Cricetulus griseus: one gene and its partners. The protein of the gene in region 3 purifies or fractionates together with the protein of the main gene of each other region. This does not show direct contact. Links are inferred from orthologs where the notes say so. Each region holds a gene or a part of one and is shown on either strand. Other genes may lie near its edges.

The links.
Region 1: the proteins of Tnfrsf1a (region 3) and Tnfaip3 purify together in Homo sapiens (affinity purification with western blotting; 7 studies listed by BioGRID, with this or other methods). This does not show direct contact. The link is inferred for Cricetulus griseus from reciprocal best matches to the Homo sapiens genes TNFRSF1A and TNFAIP3.
Region 2: the proteins of Tnfrsf1a (region 3) and Map3k7 purify together in Homo sapiens (affinity purification with western blotting; 7 studies listed by BioGRID, with this or other methods). This does not show direct contact. The link is inferred for Cricetulus griseus from reciprocal best matches to the Homo sapiens genes TNFRSF1A and MAP3K7.
Region 4: the proteins of Tnfrsf1a (region 3) and baculoviral IAP repeat-containing protein 3 purify together in Homo sapiens (affinity purification with western blotting; 4 studies listed by BioGRID, with this or other methods). This does not show direct contact. The link is inferred for Cricetulus griseus from reciprocal best matches to the Homo sapiens genes TNFRSF1A and BIRC3.
Region 5: the proteins of Tnfrsf1a (region 3) and Nsmaf purify together in Homo sapiens (affinity purification with western blotting; 3 studies listed by BioGRID and IntAct, with this or other methods). This does not show direct contact. The link is inferred for Cricetulus griseus from reciprocal best matches to the Homo sapiens genes TNFRSF1A and NSMAF.

Annotation. Positions count from the first base shown.
Region 1 is NC_048595.1:270,731,642-270,735,156, reverse strand, and holds part of Tnfaip3 (tumor necrosis factor alpha-induced protein 3), read right to left. Parts: intron 2,834-3,515; coding exon 2,653-2,833; intron 2,238-2,652; coding exon 1,360-2,237; intron 608-1,359; coding exon 426-607; intron 1-425. UniProt on the Homo sapiens protein: Ubiquitin-editing enzyme that contains both ubiquitin ligase and deubiquitinase activities.
Region 2 is NC_048595.1:110,086,728-110,090,242, forward strand, and holds part of Map3k7 (mitogen-activated protein kinase kinase kinase 7), read right to left. Parts: intron 3,125-3,515; coding exon 3,043-3,124; intron 116-3,042; coding exon 1-115. UniProt on the Homo sapiens protein: Serine/threonine kinase which acts as an essential component of the MAP kinase signal transduction pathway. Plays an important role in the cascades of cellular responses evoked by changes in the environment.
Region 3 is NC_048601.1:21,085,823-21,089,804, reverse strand, and holds the start of Tnfrsf1a (tumor necrosis factor receptor superfamily member 1A), read left to right. Parts: upstream 1-1,175; 5' UTR 1,176-1,567; coding exon 1,568-1,606; intron 1,607-3,982.
Region 4 is NC_048597.1:122,231,149-122,234,627, forward strand, and holds part of baculoviral IAP repeat-containing protein 3, read right to left. Parts: intron 1,245-3,479; coding exon 1,005-1,244; intron 1-1,004. UniProt on the Homo sapiens protein: Multi-functional protein which regulates not only caspases and apoptosis, but also modulates inflammatory signaling and immunity, mitogenic kinase signaling and cell proliferation, as well as cell invasion and metastasis.
Region 5 is NC_048595.1:154,069,994-154,074,263, reverse strand, and holds the start of Nsmaf (protein FAN), read right to left. Parts: upstream 2,802-4,270; 5' UTR 2,583-2,801; coding exon 2,524-2,582; intron 1-2,523. UniProt on the Homo sapiens protein: Couples the p55 TNF-receptor (TNF-R55 / TNFR1) to neutral sphingomyelinase (N-SMASE). Specifically binds to the N-smase activation domain of TNF-R55. May regulate ceramide production by N-SMASE.

The DNA of each region.
Region 1 (3,515 bases), on a different chromosome or scaffold from region 3:
AGCAGAAAAATGTGCAACTGAGGGTCCATAGCTCCCCACCAATCCTGTGGACCCAGTTTGAGGAAGGTCCTCCCCGCTTCTGCCATATGCCAGTAAATGGAAGCATCCTGAATATTCAGAATAAAGGACTGAGAAGTCTGCTTCTCATTAAAATCTAAGAGGTCTCTGATCAGTCACCTCCTGGCTTTCAGGATGCTCTCAGAGGCTTTGCTCAGGGCTGACTGTATTAGCTGTTCAGAATCAATTCTAAGTATGCTTAGGCTGTTCAGTGTATCCTAACATGAGCCAAAGAAATGTGGCTGGTTTTTCCAGGCTCTCTTCCAGCAGACTTTTTAAAGGGACCTTTGTCATCATGAGGAGACAGCCTGTCTGTCACAGATGGAAGACCTGACACCAGAGAGGGCAAGATTCACCAAATGTCTCACCAGTTGCTCTTCAGTCCTTTTTGCTTCATGAAACCTCTGGCTCTGAGCTTCAATGAAGCACTTCTGACAATATCCTTCAAACATGGTGCTCCCGAGGGTGCCGCACTCCCTGCCCAGGCATGGGATGTTATTCTGGAACCTGGGGGCTGTGGAACCGGCTTTCCCAGAGGCAGTAACAAACTCTACAAAAGAGTGGATGCTAGTCAGTATTACATCTGGGTTACTGTGCAAATACAGACACTGACATACAGGAAATGGGTACCCAACATAGATGAAAACAGCCTTGAACATGTACTTTGAGACTGAACTTTCAGAAACTCAGCAAAATAACATCTTTGGCTTAATCTCTCACTTTGAACATGGGTCACTGATCAGTCAGAGAACCAAACAGCAGGCATTCACAGCCCACTTGCCCTTTGATTTAGAAAGTCCTAAGCCACAGATGTTTTCCTGATGGCAGTAAATACTTCCTTTCTTTTGCTAGCCTGCTTCAGAGTATCTCACCAAAGATGCTGAAGTCTGAACTATACGTGGGTAGCAGACTCTCAATGGCCTTATTAAACCCAGCCCCACAGTCTAGTGTGGCAGTATATGCCTAAAATTCTAGCACTGAGGGGAAAGAAGCAAATAGATTGCCAGGACTCTGAGGCCCGCCTGGGATACACAGTGGGTCCATCATGGACTAGTATGAATTATATCTATAGGATATTTTTGATGTAGGGTACATGGTAACTAGAACTGATGTAATGAGATAGTGCCTACTGCTTCCAGGTACAACAGCAGAGCAACAGTCACTGTCCCCAAGCACAAACCAATAAGAAAGGCATAGTGAGATGTAATTGCTCTGACTGCTGGGATAGGCTACTTTCTTGACAATCAAAGACCCCTTTCTAGGCACTGACTACTGCAATAGGCAATCTATGATTTCACTCACGTTTATTTTCTCTGTATTCGATGAAACACAGCGTGCAGAAGCCCTTGTTTTTGGGAGTCCCAAAATATGTGCAGCCAGCTTTTCTGCACTTGCTTGTCCCTGTCCTGTCTCCTGGAGTTCGTGCTGCCTGGGAAAGGCAGCCAGAAGGGACATCATTTCCAGTCCGATGGCAAGAGTGTGGGGCGAGACTTTGGATGAGTTGTGAGGGGTCAGACTTGGAGCGTTGGTGACAGGAGGGAGGGACACTGGAAGTGAGGCTGGAGGAGGGCTCTGCTTTGGTCCTTTTCAAACAGGTACTGCAGATGCCATTAAACGTCCGAGTGACATCCTGATGGCAAGCTTGGCACTTACCGGGATCTGCAGTGTGGCTGGCATTAAGCTGCTGGGCATTGTGGCAGCGCTCACAGAATCCATTATGCTGCACGTTCAATGTGAAAGGGCAACCGGGGCTCCTGCACTTCATTGCCGTGGTCTCGCTGAACAGAAAAAGGCTGGGTGCCGTGGGTGGGGCCGAATGAGGTCCTCCAGCTGTTTCCTCCGGGCTCCAGGCGGAGGTGCCAAGTCCCATGCCTGGGAATCCTTCAGGACCCAGCTTCGAGTTCAGCTTTGGGAGTTTGCTCTGGTTCTTTTGGCGCCTCTCTGAGCATTCATGACATAACGGTTGAGTGTTCACGGACATAAAGAAAGGACAGTTGGGTGTCTCACATTTTACATCCATGAGTGACAGCTGGGGCGTGGAAGGCTCCAAAGGGTTCTGTGAATGCGCCCCTCTCCTGCCTTGCTCATTGTTTTCCTGCCATTTCTTGTATTCATGCTGAACAAGTTCAAAGTAATCATCTACCAGATTTATTTCTTTGGGTAAATTAGCTTCATCCAACCTAAAGAGCAAGCAGGAAAATAAGTGGTGACTCCAAATAACACAAGACTCTAACATCATAAGCTCCTAGAACACATTTCCAGAATGTAGCAGTCTATGGCACAATACCAGCACTGAAATGCAGGCTTATGACACATTGTGGTCCAATACACTTCTATCATGTTCTCAAGTGCAGAAGACAAATCAAAGGGCTGGAGAGATGGCTCAGCTGTTAAGAGCACTGGCTACTCTTCCAGAGGACCCAGGTTCAATTCCCAGCACCCACATGGCAGCTCTGTCACAACTGTCTGTAACTCCAGTTCCAGGGAATCCAGCACCCTCACACAGACATGCATGCAGGCAAAACACCAATGCATAGAGAAAAAAATTAATAAATAAATCTTTTAAAAAAAGACAAATTAAAGGAGACTGCTTACTTTGCAGCATTGATGAGGTGAGTTGTGCCATGGTCCCAGCCTTGCACCGGGATCTCCATCACTATCAAGTACTCCTTGAGAAGTTTTTCCTTCATCTCATTTTCAGGGTCTGTCAAAAAGTGAACTTTTAAGTCTTCAAATCTTCCCCGATCTCTATTAACAAGGGGAACAGCTCGGATTTCTGAAAGAAAAAAAATATCGTGTGAGTAAAATATTATCCTACAAATGATGCTGTGTGTAAGGTCACATACACTGATTAGAATTTAGAGATACAGAAAGATTCATCCAGTCACACTTAAAAGCCAAACAGGGAAACAAAATGTGGTAAAGACTAACATAAAATGCTTTGTATCCAGGGAGCTCACAGAATGCCAAGGAGCCTGGTACTGGCAGACTTCTTTGACAGGGATTTAATTTGTGATTTTTGGATATTTATTGTGGCTGGAAGGCTGAGAGGTAATTTTAGTTCTTGTTTGGAGCACAAAGATTCTGGACTTACTTTTGTGCTTTTGTACACATCTCTATGAACATACTCTGTATTTGAACTCCATTATCCTCTCACCCCTCCTCCTCCTGCTGCTTCTACTTCTTTCAAAATCCTCTGCCTTCTACTTCCATGTATTCTGCTCTGTACCCTTAAAAAAAATCTAGATTCCATATATGAGAGAAAAAAGTGTTGCTTTTCTGAGTCTATGCTTTTCTTTTAAATATGATTATCTCCTGCTCCATCTTTTTTCTCTGCAAATGACAAAAATTCCCTTTTTCCCCCTTATGGCTAAATAATTCCATTGTGTACACATATCACAGTCTCTTCATCCATCCATCTGGTGATCATCACCTAAGCTGATTTTTGTAATCACAGG
Region 2 (3,515 bases), on a different chromosome or scaffold from region 3:
TTTTTTAACAGTTTTGACTCTAAGCGTTTAATAGTATCATTTGTGGCAGGAACTTGTTCCATATTGGTATCACTTTTATTACTGGTATTTGTAGAAGCGATGTCCATGAATGAGCCTAGGAAAGCAGAAACATTTATGACTTCAGGTTGAGAATGATATGAATGCCTCATTCAATAAATGGCAAGACATAAAAACAAAGCAAAAACTTCCACACCAATGAAGACACTCTAAACAAGTCCATTTTAAATGATGGTTACAGAGAGCACAATAAAGAGTCAGTCAGTCTTCTAAACAAATGAGACTAATGTAAAGATTTAACCCTGAAGTAGAGCTGGGGCTTATTAGCAGACAAGAAGAAGAGTGAGTTTGAAGGACATACCCAGAACTAAGTTTGGAAAGCACTGCTTTGAGTCCCTACTAGAAATCCTGTTCTGGATAAACAAAGGTAGAATCCAGGCATAAGATGAGAACACTTTTTTTTCTCTTCTGGTCCCAGGCACTTCAGGAGCCACAGGTTACTGTGAAGACATGGGCAAGTCCAAGAACTACACCACAAATAAGAAATCCTGGAAATGGCACAGGACAGCATCAAGAAACCCAGTCACAAAGATACTAGTGTCTTAAGGGGTTGACTCCAAGTTTCTGAGGAACATGTGATTTGTCAAGAAGCACAACAAGAAAGACCTGAAGAAGATGCAGACAAACAATGCAAAGATGAGTGAGCACGCAGAGGCCCTTAAGGCCCTTGTGCAACCCAAGGCAGTTAAGCCCAAGGAGCCAAGGTGCCCAACCACAAATGCAGCCTTATTTCTTTCATCACTCACCCAAAGCCTGGGAAGCAGATCTGAAGCTACATGGCTAAGGGTTATAGGCTCTGCCAACAAAAGCCCAGGTTTAAACCAAGGCTGAGGCTGCAGTTCCAGCTCAGGCTCTGAAAGGTGTGGGGCCCTTGTGAAGGCCCCATAGAAAAGGCTTCTACCAGTCAATATGAAGACAGATGGACTGATGTGACACACCTACACACTATTTACAGATGGTCAGTGCCCTATGATGTTTTTACAAATAAACCTGAGGCAAAATCTGCCTAGAGAGAGGGAGAGGAAAACAAAGTCCTAATATTGGAAGAGGTAACCAAGGAGATGGAGAAAATGGCTAAGTGAACAAGCCAATGGCTAAGTCTTTGGCACTCCTCCTTATAACTGAGGAAATGAGGAACAACCAGCAAAGAAAACCAAGAACAAGCTGAGGACAATCTCAGAGACATGGTGTTTGTTTAACATTCACAAAGTCTCAGGTTCTGCTTGTTTCGCAAAATAATAGCCAAACAATAACCTCAACAAAAACCCCTAAGTGACCAGAAATGTAGTATGAAATTCAGATTAGTCTTGGGTCCTGCACAGCAAGTGAAGAGTATAAAGAGAAAGATGAATGTACCAAACATTTATTAGTATCAACTGTGAATATAAAATTCCACTCATTTGCATAGTTATACAGAGATAACTGGTGACCTCCACAAGAATAATTCTGCAGTAGTAGTATAAGAGAAGTCTAAATGAAGTAGATGCTAGAGAATGGGAAGAAGGGAGTTAGTCAGTGCATCTGAATACAGACTGTATTTGCTCTTGAAATGTTCCCAGTAGAAAGACGAAAAGTCATGAGGGGAGAGAAGAGTTATCTACCTGACACAAAGGGTAGATATGGTATAATGTATAAGCAGAGAGTCTTGCCTTTAACTAGAAGCATGGGCAGTCAGAAAAAAACAGAAAACAGAGAAGGTGGGCACTGTTCCAAGTAGCTACAAAGACATGGGGACCTTGTAGGAGCTATCTTCTGATGATGCAAACATTCTTAAACAGAAAACAAGGTCAGCCTGCAGCATGGACTAGCAAGATACCTGAGCTTTTAGGGGAGAGGTTGCTGTCTAAAGCAAGTTGTCTAAGAGATGATAACTGCACAGTGACACTCAGCACTCATCTGAGAAAGGAGGAAGCTGAGAGCCAATTAGGCCTATAACTTAGCTAAGCAAGTGGAGAGAGGAATTCCACCATTGAGTATGATTTCTGATGGATCATCATTGACCAAGTTTAGTGGAGGGATGAAGGATAAAAGGATCTCCAGGAACTGAGGGTCAGTGAAAGGACTGAAAATCAGAAGATGAAAGAAAGGAAAAACACAGGGAGTTCTGGAAAAGATCACTGCAGAATCACTGAAAACTCAAAAGGTTTTCAGTAAAACTGAATTTGAGCATCACTAATCAAACAAAAACCTTAAAACAAATAAACCATCTCAAAATGGGGGAAAGAGACTAATGAACATATTCGTGGGAAAAAAGTGAAAATTTAAAGTTCAGGTTACATATGTACTGACATGTATGTGTTTCTCTAGATGAAATTAAATAAATAACAAAAAAGAAATTAAATAAATAACAAAATGCCATATATTTTGCAAATAGCAATTTCTCTAAGTTAGAATACTAGTTCTGTTTTTGATAACCTCAAACTATCACTTAGTACTTCTACTTTATATTTCAGAAAACTGAACTTCTAATTAAAGCAGTTTCAGAAATAAGTCTCTTTTGAAAAAGACCAAAGAGCAGAACAGAGTTGGTGAGGAAACCCAATGTTCACAATAACCTGCCTGACCCAGCAGCATCCATGGAGAACCTGTTGGTGTGGAGGCATGTATCTAGTCTGAGATCTAAGGAGGTTTTTGAGACAGGGTCATGAATTTGAAGTTAGCCTAAATCATATGGTGATTGGCTGGCCTGGATTCAAAGTGAGACTATCTCAAAAAGATGAAATTAGACTAGCATTCACAGCAATGTCATATTCAATCCTTTAGTCCTAACTAAGCAGTAACTCTAGACATGGAAGCAGGTCTTTATGGCAGGAGCTTCATAAAGAGGGAGGCACCTGGCAACTCAAACTGCAGTGAATCCAGAGAAATGAGGAATTAAAGTGTAAATGTAGACAGCCCTCCTTTTTTCATGACAAACTTCATGAGAGGGGAAATCTTGATGATGCTCTGATGCCATCTGTTTACCTGTGCTGGTGGCTGAGTTGCTCTGCCCTTCATCAGAGTACTGACAAGGATACTGCAATGGCTCATCTGCTCCTGGAAAGTACTGTAGTAAAAGCAAGTCACAATTTAAAATGCCTTTAGTACAGGGTAAACCCTGTTACATGAACACAAGAGCACATCTGTATCACTGCTTTAGTTTAAGGTACACAGGGGTGGACACAGCCCTGCTTTCCTGCAGGCTTGTACTGAATGTGGAATGACTTCTGTTTCTGATCAGAGAAAAAGGTGATAGTGCTCTTTTTGGAAAGCTAGCTGCAGACAATGCCATGTACCTACACAAGCACTGAGATGACAGCAAGGGAAACTCTCTAGAGGAGCATACAGAACAGAGGACTCACTGCTCGGAAGAACACTGGGCTTGGAACAGTGACATATATTGATAACTGGCAGTGAATGCTTCTGAATCACCTTTAAACCAGTATTTTTAAAGATTA
Region 3 (3,982 bases):
ATCATCTCAGCCACTGAAGGACCTCAGGCTGAACTGGCATACATAAAGAAGGCCACTAAATCTCAAGGGCACTTGAGTGCATAGTGTCCCGGTGCTGTAGGGTTCACCTGTACACATGGAGATGGCAGAAGGTGTCCACCCCTCATAAGGGATGGCAGTCAGAAGGCGATGTCTCACTCAGAGAGAGAGAGGACAGTGCAGGGAACCAGGAACCCAGGTCCTCTGTGCTCTGCATCCCAGCATGCTGTGTCTTGTGGCTTTTTCCTTACCCTTAAAGCTTCAAGATTTAGTACTCTCCCTCCGGGGTCAGTCCTAATGGATGCATCCAAGTATCTAGAGCTGGGTGTGGTGGTACCCATCTGTAATCTTAGCCTGTAGGAGGCAAGAGGACCAGAAGTACAAGGCCAGCCTCAGCTACATAGTGAGTTTGAGGCTGGCCTGGGCTAAATGAAACATTTCTTTAACCAAGACAAAATAGCAGGTTTGGGAAAAGGGCCCTGGGAACCCTTTACAGCCTCAAGCATGTTCACAGAGATGGCCTCCTGAATCTTCACAGCACCTCTTTCCCTGTGTGAGGGCAGTGCAGGCGTTCACTCTCTCATTTAATAACTGGGGAGCCAACCAAGGCTTGGGGGTCTCTCTCTCTCTCTCTCTCTCCTCTCTCTCTCTCTCTCTCTCTCTCTCTCTCTCTCTCTCTCTCTCTCTCTCTCTCTCTCTCTCTCCTCTCTCCTCTCTCTCTCCTCTCTGTGACAGAGCCATGGTGGGCAGCTGGGGAACCTGTCTGGAAGAGCCTGATGAAAGTCAGTGGGAGAGGCTGAGGGTCAGGCCCCAGGCAGGGTAGAAAACTAGATTTGGTTTTCTTCCCGGTTTGGGGCTGGTTGGGTAAACGTCCAAAAAAGAGAGATTAGAGGGAACCCTGGAGCGAAGGGAGGGCCGCTGAGGACAGCCGTGCACCAGCTGCTGTCCTCCCTCAGTAACTCCTGCCTGCCATCCCATGAGATAGGCTATCTTCATTCTGTGAACTTGAGAACAGCCCGGGGCGGGGTTAGTCTACGGGTCTAAGCTCCCCCACCTAAAAAGCAGAGGAGACAACTGGAACTCGGCGAATTTGACTCAAACTCTAGGTGCTCCCGCTGGGTGTTAAGCGGGTTTGGGGCGCCAGGCTGTGGGAGCCAGGCTGCAAAGCGTTAAAAGAACCTTGGCCCTCTCGTCTCTCCTGGCTCCCTCCTCCCTCCTCCCTCGCCTCTCCCCCGGCTCTTCCGGTCCCGCTCTTGCAACACCACCCCCGCCACTCTCCCTTCCCCTCCTACCTCCTCTTTACTCGCAACTTTAATTTTCTCCGAGTGTTCCGAACTCTGGCTCCCGGTCGGGCCTACTGGGTTCGAGGTCCTGGAGGACCGCACCCCGATCTCTATCTACCCTCGACTTTCAGCGCCTCTAAACCGAGGCCCGCGCTGCCACTGCCCGGGCCACCTGGTCCGGTCGGCTTACTTCATTCACCAGCCTTGCCAATTGCTGCACTGTCCCCAGCCCCAATGGGGGAGTGAGAGGCCACTGCCGGCCGGACATGGGTCTCCCCACCGTGCCTGGCCTGCTGCTGTCACTGGTGAGATGGGAGACAGAGGGGACGGGTGGGCAGCTGGTCAGGCGCGGCCTGGCAGGGGTGGCATGTACTAGGGGTAGGGGTGGGGGTGGGGTCGCTTCTCCGCTTCAGTTTGCCTAGGCTTGCTGTGCCTCACCTGGGGCTGCTCTGAGAGGCGGAGGGGAGAAATCTGAGAGGGAGAACGTTACCACCAGCCAAGCAAGCCCCCAAGCCCAGGGCCTGACAGCCAAGGCGGCTGGCTGGTCCTGGAGTGTGTTGGGCTTTAGGGAGGCCAGGTGCCAGGCCAGTGGAATTACCCGGAGCAGCCCCCGTTTCTCTGGCAGACGTTGAACAGCAAGGGTCAGGATGTTGGAAGACTGGGTCGAAGAACGGGGGCAGTTGGTGGGACAGGTTTGGGATACCATGTTTGGGAGTGAAACAGGAAACAGGATAAAGCAGGGCAGCCCGGCCCAGCCGCTTTCCTGAGACAGCCTGTGCCCTTCTGCCCCCAGGTCTGCTTCCAGACAAGAGGTCTCCATTGGCCTAACCCTCCCTAGGTAGCTAATACCTCCTTTACCTAGGCAGTGTATCCTTCAGCCCCCTCCTCACAGACCTAAAAGACAATCTCTCGGTTTCTAATTCCACAGTTCAGATTGGGGAAGTTGGTAGCAGTTTGTTTTCGTCACTGGAAAAATGTCCTTTCCTCTGGCTTTGGCCTCGTTTTTTTCACGTTTCCTTGGTTTCCCTATACGTGCGTGCGTATAACCATTCTGCGGAGAGCTCAGAGCCAGGGCTCCCTGGCTGTCTGGCGGACTGTACCTCCTGGACAGTGTCTCTGAGAGGTGCCTCCTTCTCCACGCCTCTCCTCTCCCCATCCTTTCCTGTCGGTCTCCAGAGCAGCCTCTTGGAGCTCCTTTCTGTCCATTCCCTTCCCTCTTTTTCCTGTTCCAGTCTAAGCCAGTGTTTCCAGAACCCTCAACTCCCCCAGTCTGTGTAGTCTCCCTCTCTCCTGTCTCCCGGTCTCAGCTCAAGACCCTTGTCAAAACTGCCCCTTCTGGGTCTGCGCCCATCATCCAATTGCCCTCACTTAGTCCTGTTCCCTTAAGGCTGCAGCAGCTGGATTTAGGGCTCAGTACAACACCCTGACCTACGTAAACTCTGACATGTGATGAGAGTCCCCTATGCCTTTGTTTCTCTATTTCCAAAATGGCCATAAAGATCACTACCTCATAGTTGTTCTTTTAAGATTGAATAGGTGGGTGCATGTTACATATTTGCTCAATTTGCTAATCTCTTACTCTGGGCCCTGTTTGAGGAGCTAGGATTGGAGGTGAATGGATCCCTGATGGCGACAAATAGAAGGGACTCTGCTTAGTGCCTGTTTTCTCCTCGCTAGCGGTATCGGTAGTCTGTCATTACTCAGTGGCTGCCAGCATTTGATAAGGTAAAAATAGCCTAGATAGGTTAGAAAGCCCCTGACCCAGTTGTGGAGGCCCAGGTGGCGATGGGCACTATGAACAGAATCGGAGCCTAAAGACAAAGGTCAAGAGATAGCACGTAAGGTCTACAACGGGCAGTCGGTCCACTGCCTTGTCAGAGCACAGTGCCTACGACAAGCATGAGTGATGAGGCGCTGGGGTCAGGAGGCCAGGCCAACAAGATTTTAAGTTTTAAGGCGTTTAAATATAGGAGTCAAAATGACTTTAGAACAGTCTGGAGGAAAAGACATGCCAAGGCCTTGTGATACAGTGTCCTGGAGGCAGAGCTGGGGCGGGGGTGGGGGGAGGTTGGCCACAGGCCAACTGTCTTTTCTTGCTTACTGGCCTTTGCCTGTCTGTTGGGCTGAGCTTGCCTGCATAGATCTTTGGCTCACTGAGAGCTCTTGAGAGTGTGAATTATGTCCCACCCCTCTTGGCATCTCCAGCACCCACGAGGATCCTGGAATGGAGACCTTGACACTTGACTAATGGTGGAATCAATTAGGAAACAAGAGATTGGTCCATGGGACCAGGGAGGGAATGCTGCATAGAGAAGAGGGCTTGGAACTCTTTTCTGGCATCTGGAGCCAGAAAGGAGGGAGAGCAGAGGAGCTGGGAGACTGGGTGGGGGAATGGAGCTGAGCACCTCAGCTGGGGGTAGGACGGCCAAGGTGAGGAATATGACAGGGTGAGAACGGGTACTCCAGCCTGTGTGGAAAAGAACCACGAGCCAGAGCCAGTCGTGAAAGCCAAGGCCTTTCATTCTAGAATGGGAGGTGAAGGCGGGAGACCAGTTTTGGCTACAAAGAGAGCTTGAGGCCATAGAGAAAAAGCGTCAATAGGGACACGTGCACCAGTGCAGCCTAGACCACATGAGACCATGTCGTAAAAAAAAACCAAAAAGGAAAAAAAAGTGTGCATA
Region 4 (3,479 bases), on a different chromosome or scaffold from region 3:
CTTCTAGCCTCCAAGGGCTCCCACACACACAAATACACATAAAACTCACACAAATACACATAAATTTAAAATTAATTAAAATTTAATTAATTAAACATTGTCTAAGATATAATGTTACCCTAGTATTCAAATGAATAATTCTCCTGGATTCCATCTCAATTTATCATAAAGGGGAATGAATGGGCTGTGGGTCAACAAGATGGCTCAGTGCAGAAAACCCTCATTGCAAAATCTTAATGACATTTGTCCTTGATACTCAGAACCCAGAGGAAGTGGAGAGTTCTGACTCCATTAAGATATCCTCTGATTTATGTGTCACTGTACGCACGTGCAAGCACACACACACACACACACACACACACACACACACACACACACACCCCTACCTCTTCAAAATTGAAAACTGATTTGACAGTATGTTGAAATCAAGCTCCTTCGTGAAAATTTTATTTAAGAGGAAAATATAAAGGCTTACTAATTGAAAAGATCTATGTGCACATACAGAAAACAAAAATCACACATAGTGTGTGACTCTTTGGGGATTTTGAAGGTTACAAGGCACTTTAAAAAAAACTGGTTTTTGTAACCTTTAAATCTAAGAGAAAAGTGCTAACATCTGTTCAACATATACTTTTTTTAATACAATGAGCAACCCAGTGTGCTTTTAAGTGTGTGTGTGTGTGTGTGTGTGTGTGTGTGTGTGTGTGTGTGTGTATCTGTGCATTTGCTACAGCATTCATACAGAAGTCAGAGGAAAACCTGTGGGAGTCAAATCAGTTCTCCCTTCCACCAAATGGGGTCTGGGGGTCAAGCTCTAGTACTGAGATCCAAGTGTCCTCACCTGCCAAGCCACCTCCCTAGCCCTTCACAACGCACTTCATTGTGAACAATTGTTTTCAGAATATGAAACATAAGAAACACCGGGCCAAATAGACAAGCATCTTTTTACAACTTGCATAGGGTGACATGCCATCTCTCCGGAGAAGGGACCTTGTGAACTGTACCTGACTCTATTTCCTCGGCTGCCTGCTCCTTCTGCTCCTCCCTTATCTCGTCTTCCGCATCAAGTAAGCCTATCACGAGGTCGCTGACGGTCCTGTAGTTCTCGCCAGTGGCCAGGATTTGACGCTGAACTGTCTGTCTTACCAGGCTCCTACTGAAGCCCATTTCCAAAGCTGCTTTAACCACAGGCGTGTTCATCATGACCACATCTTCTGAACTTTCACCAAGTCCGAAATGCACAACTATATGAAAAGGGAGATTTAACAGACATTAGCAGTGCCCGTATACCTTTTTGTTATGGCTGTTGTTTTGAGATTTCTTCTAGCCCAGTCAAGCCTCAAGCTTATTATGTAGCCCAGGCTGATCTCAAATTCATGGCAATTCTCCTGCCTCAGCCTCCCAGGTGCTAGGATTACAGGCAAAAACCAACACATACTTTTTAAATAGCAAGCTATTGCAATATCAAAACCATAAAATCTGAAAAACACATAGGCACTACACTAAGAATATGGAATACTATTGCCTTTAGATATAAGCCTATGACTACTTTTCCTCAAGAGCAGGAGACCCGAATGTCAGGGTTCAATCCCACCAGAATCAAGGGGCTTCTTTTTCTATATTGGATAAGTGAATAAGCTTTCTAAATCATATATATATATATTATATATATATATATATATATATATATTCTACATATTTGTTTTATTGGTATTTATTTGTTGTATACAATGTTTTTGTCATAATATATTTATATACACATATGTAATTTGATATTTTTGTCTCTTTCCATTTCCTGCAAATAGCATGGTTTCACATTTAATTTATGGTTGAGTAATTTTCTTTTTTTTTTTCCTGTTTTCTTTTGTTGCAGGAGACAGAGTCTTAGCATATAGCCAAGGTTCTTGCTTCTGACTCCCAAATGCTGAGGTCATAGGTATGCACTACATTATCTTTATCCATCCATCTGCCAGTGAGTTATGACTCAATCCATAATTTGACTATATGTTTTCACAGTTTTGAAAGAAACCATTGTTACCATTCAGTACAGTTACCCCAGTGTCCTAGAGTATTGCCCCCCTTCCAACACTACAACCCAGCAACTTTGAAAACGCAAAACCAGATGGGATCACACTCTTTAAACTCAACCCCCTTAACCTTAGGATCAAATCTCAGCTCTACCTGTGGCTTATACATTCAGATGTGGCCACAGCCTCAGCCCTTGCTATTTCCATGCTAGAAGCAGCTTCACGAATTTGCCCTTGCATTTGGATCTAGAGTTCCCAAACTGAGAGCTGTTAGCTCAGACTCTGCCGTCAGCACCACCAATTACCTGCCTGCAGCTCGATCCTTCCAGCTAGACAAAATTTGTCCAGTTCCTTGGAAGTCCCTATTCCATGTCACTTAGGCCTCTGATATTCTCTTTGTCCAGAATATGCTTTTGCCTGTTAGTTAACAGATTTCTGTTCTCTTGGGCTCTCTGCTAGGAAAAGTACTTCTGCAGACAGTCTTTTCTTTCATTTTTGTTTTGTTTTGCTTTGTTTTATGGTTTTTGGATGGGGGAGGAGGGATTGCCATGGCATGTGGGTTGTCAGAGGACAGCTTGCAGGAGTCACTTTCTCTCTGCCCACCATGTGAGTCTAGGGCCTAGAACTCAGGCTGTCAGTGTGGCAGCAAGCACTTTAACCACTGAGCTATCTGCCAGCCCTGTTCTGTTCTTTTTCTTAAGATTTATTTATTTATTTATTTATTTATTTATTTATTTATTATGTATACAACATTCTGCTTCCATGTATATCTGCACATCAGAAGAGGGAATCATATCTCATAATGGATGGTTGTGAGCCACCATGTGTTTGCTGGGAGTTGAACTCAGGACCTCTGGAAGAGCAGCCAGTGCTCTTAACCTCTGAGCCATATCTCCAGCCCTGTTCTGCTCTTTTAAGACAAAATCTCACTAGGTTACCAGGCTGGCCAGGAACTCACCCAAGCTGGCCTGGAACTCCCTGTATGACCCTTGTGCTTTAGCCTTGCAAGTACTGAGGCTGCAGGTGCTGTGCAGACATACACACCCACCCCTGGCTTCCAATTCCGCAGACTTAGCTGTCTGCCTCTTGGCTTTCTCCTCCAGATCATGTTCTCCTATCTGAGCTCTCATCTGTGTCCCTAAAATCATTAGCTCATGAGAACAGGAGTCATGCTTATCTTGTGTCCTATTCTTTGTTTGGAACAACAAAAATCCATAATAAAAACATATTACAGCCGGCATTGGTGGCTCACGCCTTTAATCCCAGCACTTGGGAGGCAGAGGTAGGCGGATCTCTGTGAGTTTGAGGCCAGCCTGGTCTCCAGAGTGAGTGCCAGGATAGGCTCCAAAGCTATACAGAGAAACCCTATCTCGAAAAACAAAACAAAACAAAACAAAAAAATTACATTAGGCCTGGAAAGATGGCTCAGCAGTTAAGAGCTCTGGCTGCTCT
Region 5 (4,270 bases), on a different chromosome or scaffold from region 3:
TCTATTATATCACAGAAATAAAACTACAGCTTCTGCTTTGAAGGCATGTGTCTCAACTATGTAAACTTCTACAGAGTAAGATAAAAATAGTTGTGAAGATAAATTTTAAATAGAACAATTCAGAAATAGAATAACAAGTGACAGTTTGTAGAATTCCTTATTTCCTTACCCACTGACCACTTCTGCCATGCTCAACTATTTCAGAGAACATATGTGAATTTTTCTCTTTACTTTTGTCATTTGTCTTCATCAACATCTAATCATGATATTTAAAAATAACTAGCAAAATTTATATGGCTGCTGACATAATGGAAGGGATACAAAACACTTAATTTGAACAATAGAACTAATTGTCTATTTGCATTCTGGTCCTGAAAATTACTAAGGCATTTTTTTTCATAAATTTCAGCAAACAGCACCAGTGCATGGCTATTCATACCAGAAGTTTCAGTGCAGGGCTGTGTGGGTTAGCAAGTAGCAGTACAGGATCCCAGTTAAAGTTGAATTTTAGAGAAACAATATACTTAATCTACACTAAGTTTTAGTATAAATATGTCCCCAAATCTACATGGGACATATGCCAAAAATTATCTGAAATTAATATTTAACTGAGTGTCTCATATTGTACCTAACAATCCCAGCCAGGCTTCTTTCTCCACCCTCTTAAATGCCATATACAATACCATCTCCGGTCACCTCTATCTCATTAAACATCTAGAATACAAATCCACTTTGCTGCATTCTTCCTTCTGTCATCACTATGATCCAAACTCCTGGCACAGAATCTCCCAAACAAACTCTGCTCATGCTAACTGGAGCTAATTCAGCAGCAGAGACATACATACTAACTTCAGTTTCTCTTTCTCTGGGGTCACTGTTTGGCAGCTCTAGAAATCTAAAATCCCAAACTCAGTTTGAGAGGAGCCACTGAGTGCACAGGGCAGAGGGGAGGCCTCTGGTTATCTCTCACTAGCCTCAAGCTCCCCAGGAAAAGGAACTGCTCTCTGAGATAGCCAGAGCCAATGGCCTTTATCATCTTGCTCATTTGTCCTTAATGTTGCCAAATGACAGTTAAGCCAAGACACATGTGGGCAGAAATGTTAAATTTGGGTCTCAGTAAGGTTGGTTTTCCAAAGTTAACTTTTAAAAGTTGGTCTTTTTGAATGAATTGTATGATTTATGAAGAATCTCCTTGATTTAAGTTCAAATCTCACACTCAGAGATGTTCCTTAATTAAAATATACAGATACATACATACATACATACATACATACATACACCCTAAGATTGAAAAGCCAGTAGGCAGAGAAAAAAAAAATTGGGGGTGATCAGGAAGTAGAATTGAAGTGCCCATGCTGATTGTAGAGAATAGTTAACTGATTGATAGCTGATAAATGTTTGACCTAGGAGAACTCTTACCTGGGAGTACGGTGGGCCTAGCATGTAAACAAAACAGCATATGCTGGAAATAGCAAGGACAGCAGGTTCCCCTAACATTACAAACAGTGTAAGACGATCAAAACAACAGTCAGAATCTAAAGATAAAACAGAACAAAACAACCCTCCCGGTTTTTCTGTTCATCACTGAAGTCACAGGATTGTTACAAATGACTATTAATGAAGTCTAGAACATGACAACAGTTCAAGCGTTTAAAAGGTTCATGCTCATCAATGCAAAACACAGCACCAAGTCTTAACAAGTCGTTGGTGCCAGACAAAGAAATCCCATGTAAACTCAGGTGGGAAATGCAATTTCAGAACACACCACCTGGCCAGTCCGACATTACAGATTAGAGAGAGAGAGAGAGAGAGAGAGAGAGAGAGAAGAGAGGAGAGAGAGAGAGAGAGAGAGAGAGAGAGAGAGAGAGAGAGAGAGAGAGAGAGAGAGAGAGAGAGAGAGAGAGAGAGAGAGAGAGATGTTTAGATGAAGAGGCGGGCTGAGTAACAACTACAGGTGAAGGGAAATTCACCCAGAATTAGAAGCTGCACCTGCGTTTCCAGGTATAACCAGCTTAGAGAGCTCCACCAAGCGACAATGTGATAGTCCGACCGCAGCTCCCACAAACCCCGTGTTTGCAAAAACGGTTTAGCCGGCTTTCCCGCTGGAAGAACAGCTAGATTATCCGCAGGCGTGCGGGTCACAAAACCGCACTAGGAAGGACACGAGGGACGGAAGTGCGCTTCCTTAGAAGGGGACGGGATCTGAGGGAGGCCGTAGCTCTTTATTCAAGTCCTTCCTGGGCCGCGGGTGACCGCAACCCTACGGTCGCACGCGGTTCTCCAACAGCTTCCCACGCAGGCCGGCTGCGGGACGCAGGGCCCCGTGTGTGTGTATGTGTGTGTGTGAGACGGGCGCGGGCTGCTCGCCCCCATGCGGGCGCGGGCTGGCCCTGCCTTTGAGTCCCGAGGTCCCCGCCAGCCGGGCCCACTCTCGACTCCCGGACCCAGGAGGCGGCCGCGGCCTGTGGGAGAGCGCCTAAGTGCCGCCCGGCCTCCCGGTCTCCCGGCCCCCGCCCCGCGCACCTCTCCTTGGAGTAGAACTGCAGCTGCTGCTCGCGCTGCCTCTTCCGGGTGAACGCCATGGAGGCCCGGGGCGCGCAGGCCGCCGACTGTCCCCAGAGGTCCCGAGCGGCGCCGCCCGGCGGCCGAGAGCCCCACGCTGCGCCCCAGGGCCCGCGGCGTCCCCACCGCGCTCACCGCAGCATCCTCGCGTGGGGACTCGGACTCGGGCGACGCCGTGACTCAGGCCCGGAGGAGGGGCGCGCTGACCTGGGGCCGCGGGCGGCAGCCGCGTCCTACACTGTCCCGACTAACCTCTGCAGCGCTGCTGCGGCGTGGAGACAGCACACGTGAAAGCCCAGGCTTGCCCGGGAGCCCCCCAGTTGTTGGCGCGGGGACCAGAAATAACAACGTTTTGCATTTTCAATCCCAAATTTCAGTTATTGAAATATTGGATGGCAGTTTAAGAAATAACACCACTAATGATGTACCACCTAAGTATCAAACAATTTGTCCATTTTTAGTGTATCAGTATTCACAGATAGGTGCAACTATGACTACACTAGGACTACAGTGTTGGGATATTTTCATCGGCCCAAAAAGAAGCCTTTACATTTTAGCAATCACTACTCCTTAGCTGCCTTTCCACAAACCTTTTCCTAGAAAAAACGACTTAACTTTCTCTATGAATTTGCCCAGTCTGGACATTTCAAATAAAAACAGCCATACAATACGTGGTCTTTGTGTCTGACGTCTTTCATTTAGCATAATGCTTTCAATGTTCATGAGCTGTAGCATAAGTCAAAATTCCATTTCTTTTTCTCACCGAAGTGTATTCCATTGTATTCCATACTTCATTTCATATTATATATTCAGCAGTTGCTAGGCATGTCAGTGTTTCCATCTCTTGGCTATTACAAATAATACAGCTATAAGCATTCATGTACCTGTTTTTGTATGCATACACTTTCATTTCTGTTGAGTGAAGTTGAAATCAAGGAGTGGAGTGGCTAGACTAATAACTCCATCTGAACTTCAAAAAACCGCCATACTGCTTTCAAAGTGGCTGCACCATCCCACTCTCACTAGTAGTGAAGAAAGGTTCTGACCCCCAACAATACTTAATATCTTTTGTATTAAATCTGTCCTACCAAGTATAACTGGTATTTCATGGGGTTTGTGGTTTCCCAATACTCTGAGAATATGCTGCAGATTGCCTACCATTGAGGGACTCTGGGATGACAAATTGTGAGAATGTTGAAACACACCTACCTTTGTCTTAAGGGCTAGGTTCTGCAGAGATAAATTAAAAACAAAAACAAAAACAAAAACAATGGCGGTGGAAGCAGCAGAGTGGCTTAGAACGTGGTGGGGGCGGGGGAGTTGAGAGTACTACATGAAGAGACCTGAGTTCCTTATATCCCAGCACTGCACAGATCCTGTAACTAGGAGACACTGGCTAAATTGTCCCCTGGGAAAGTGTCATTGTGTGCATGTGTGCACAATGACATAAGATTATGAGAATTGCTGAGGTATCATGTGAGAAATTTCTATGTGAGAAATATTATAGTAGAAGCTATAGAGTCAGAGGAGAAAATGATAGAAGCAGGTAAGGAAAAAACAGATCAGATATAACTTTTCTCTCAATTAAATGTTGGAAAAAGGTTGGCCTGGGTAGCTTGAGAATGACAGATTCTCTCCTTGACTAAACAACCAGGTTCCTCGAGTGTCCTTAAGTAGGTCTTGACCTTGGCCTACAAAACCTGTGGAC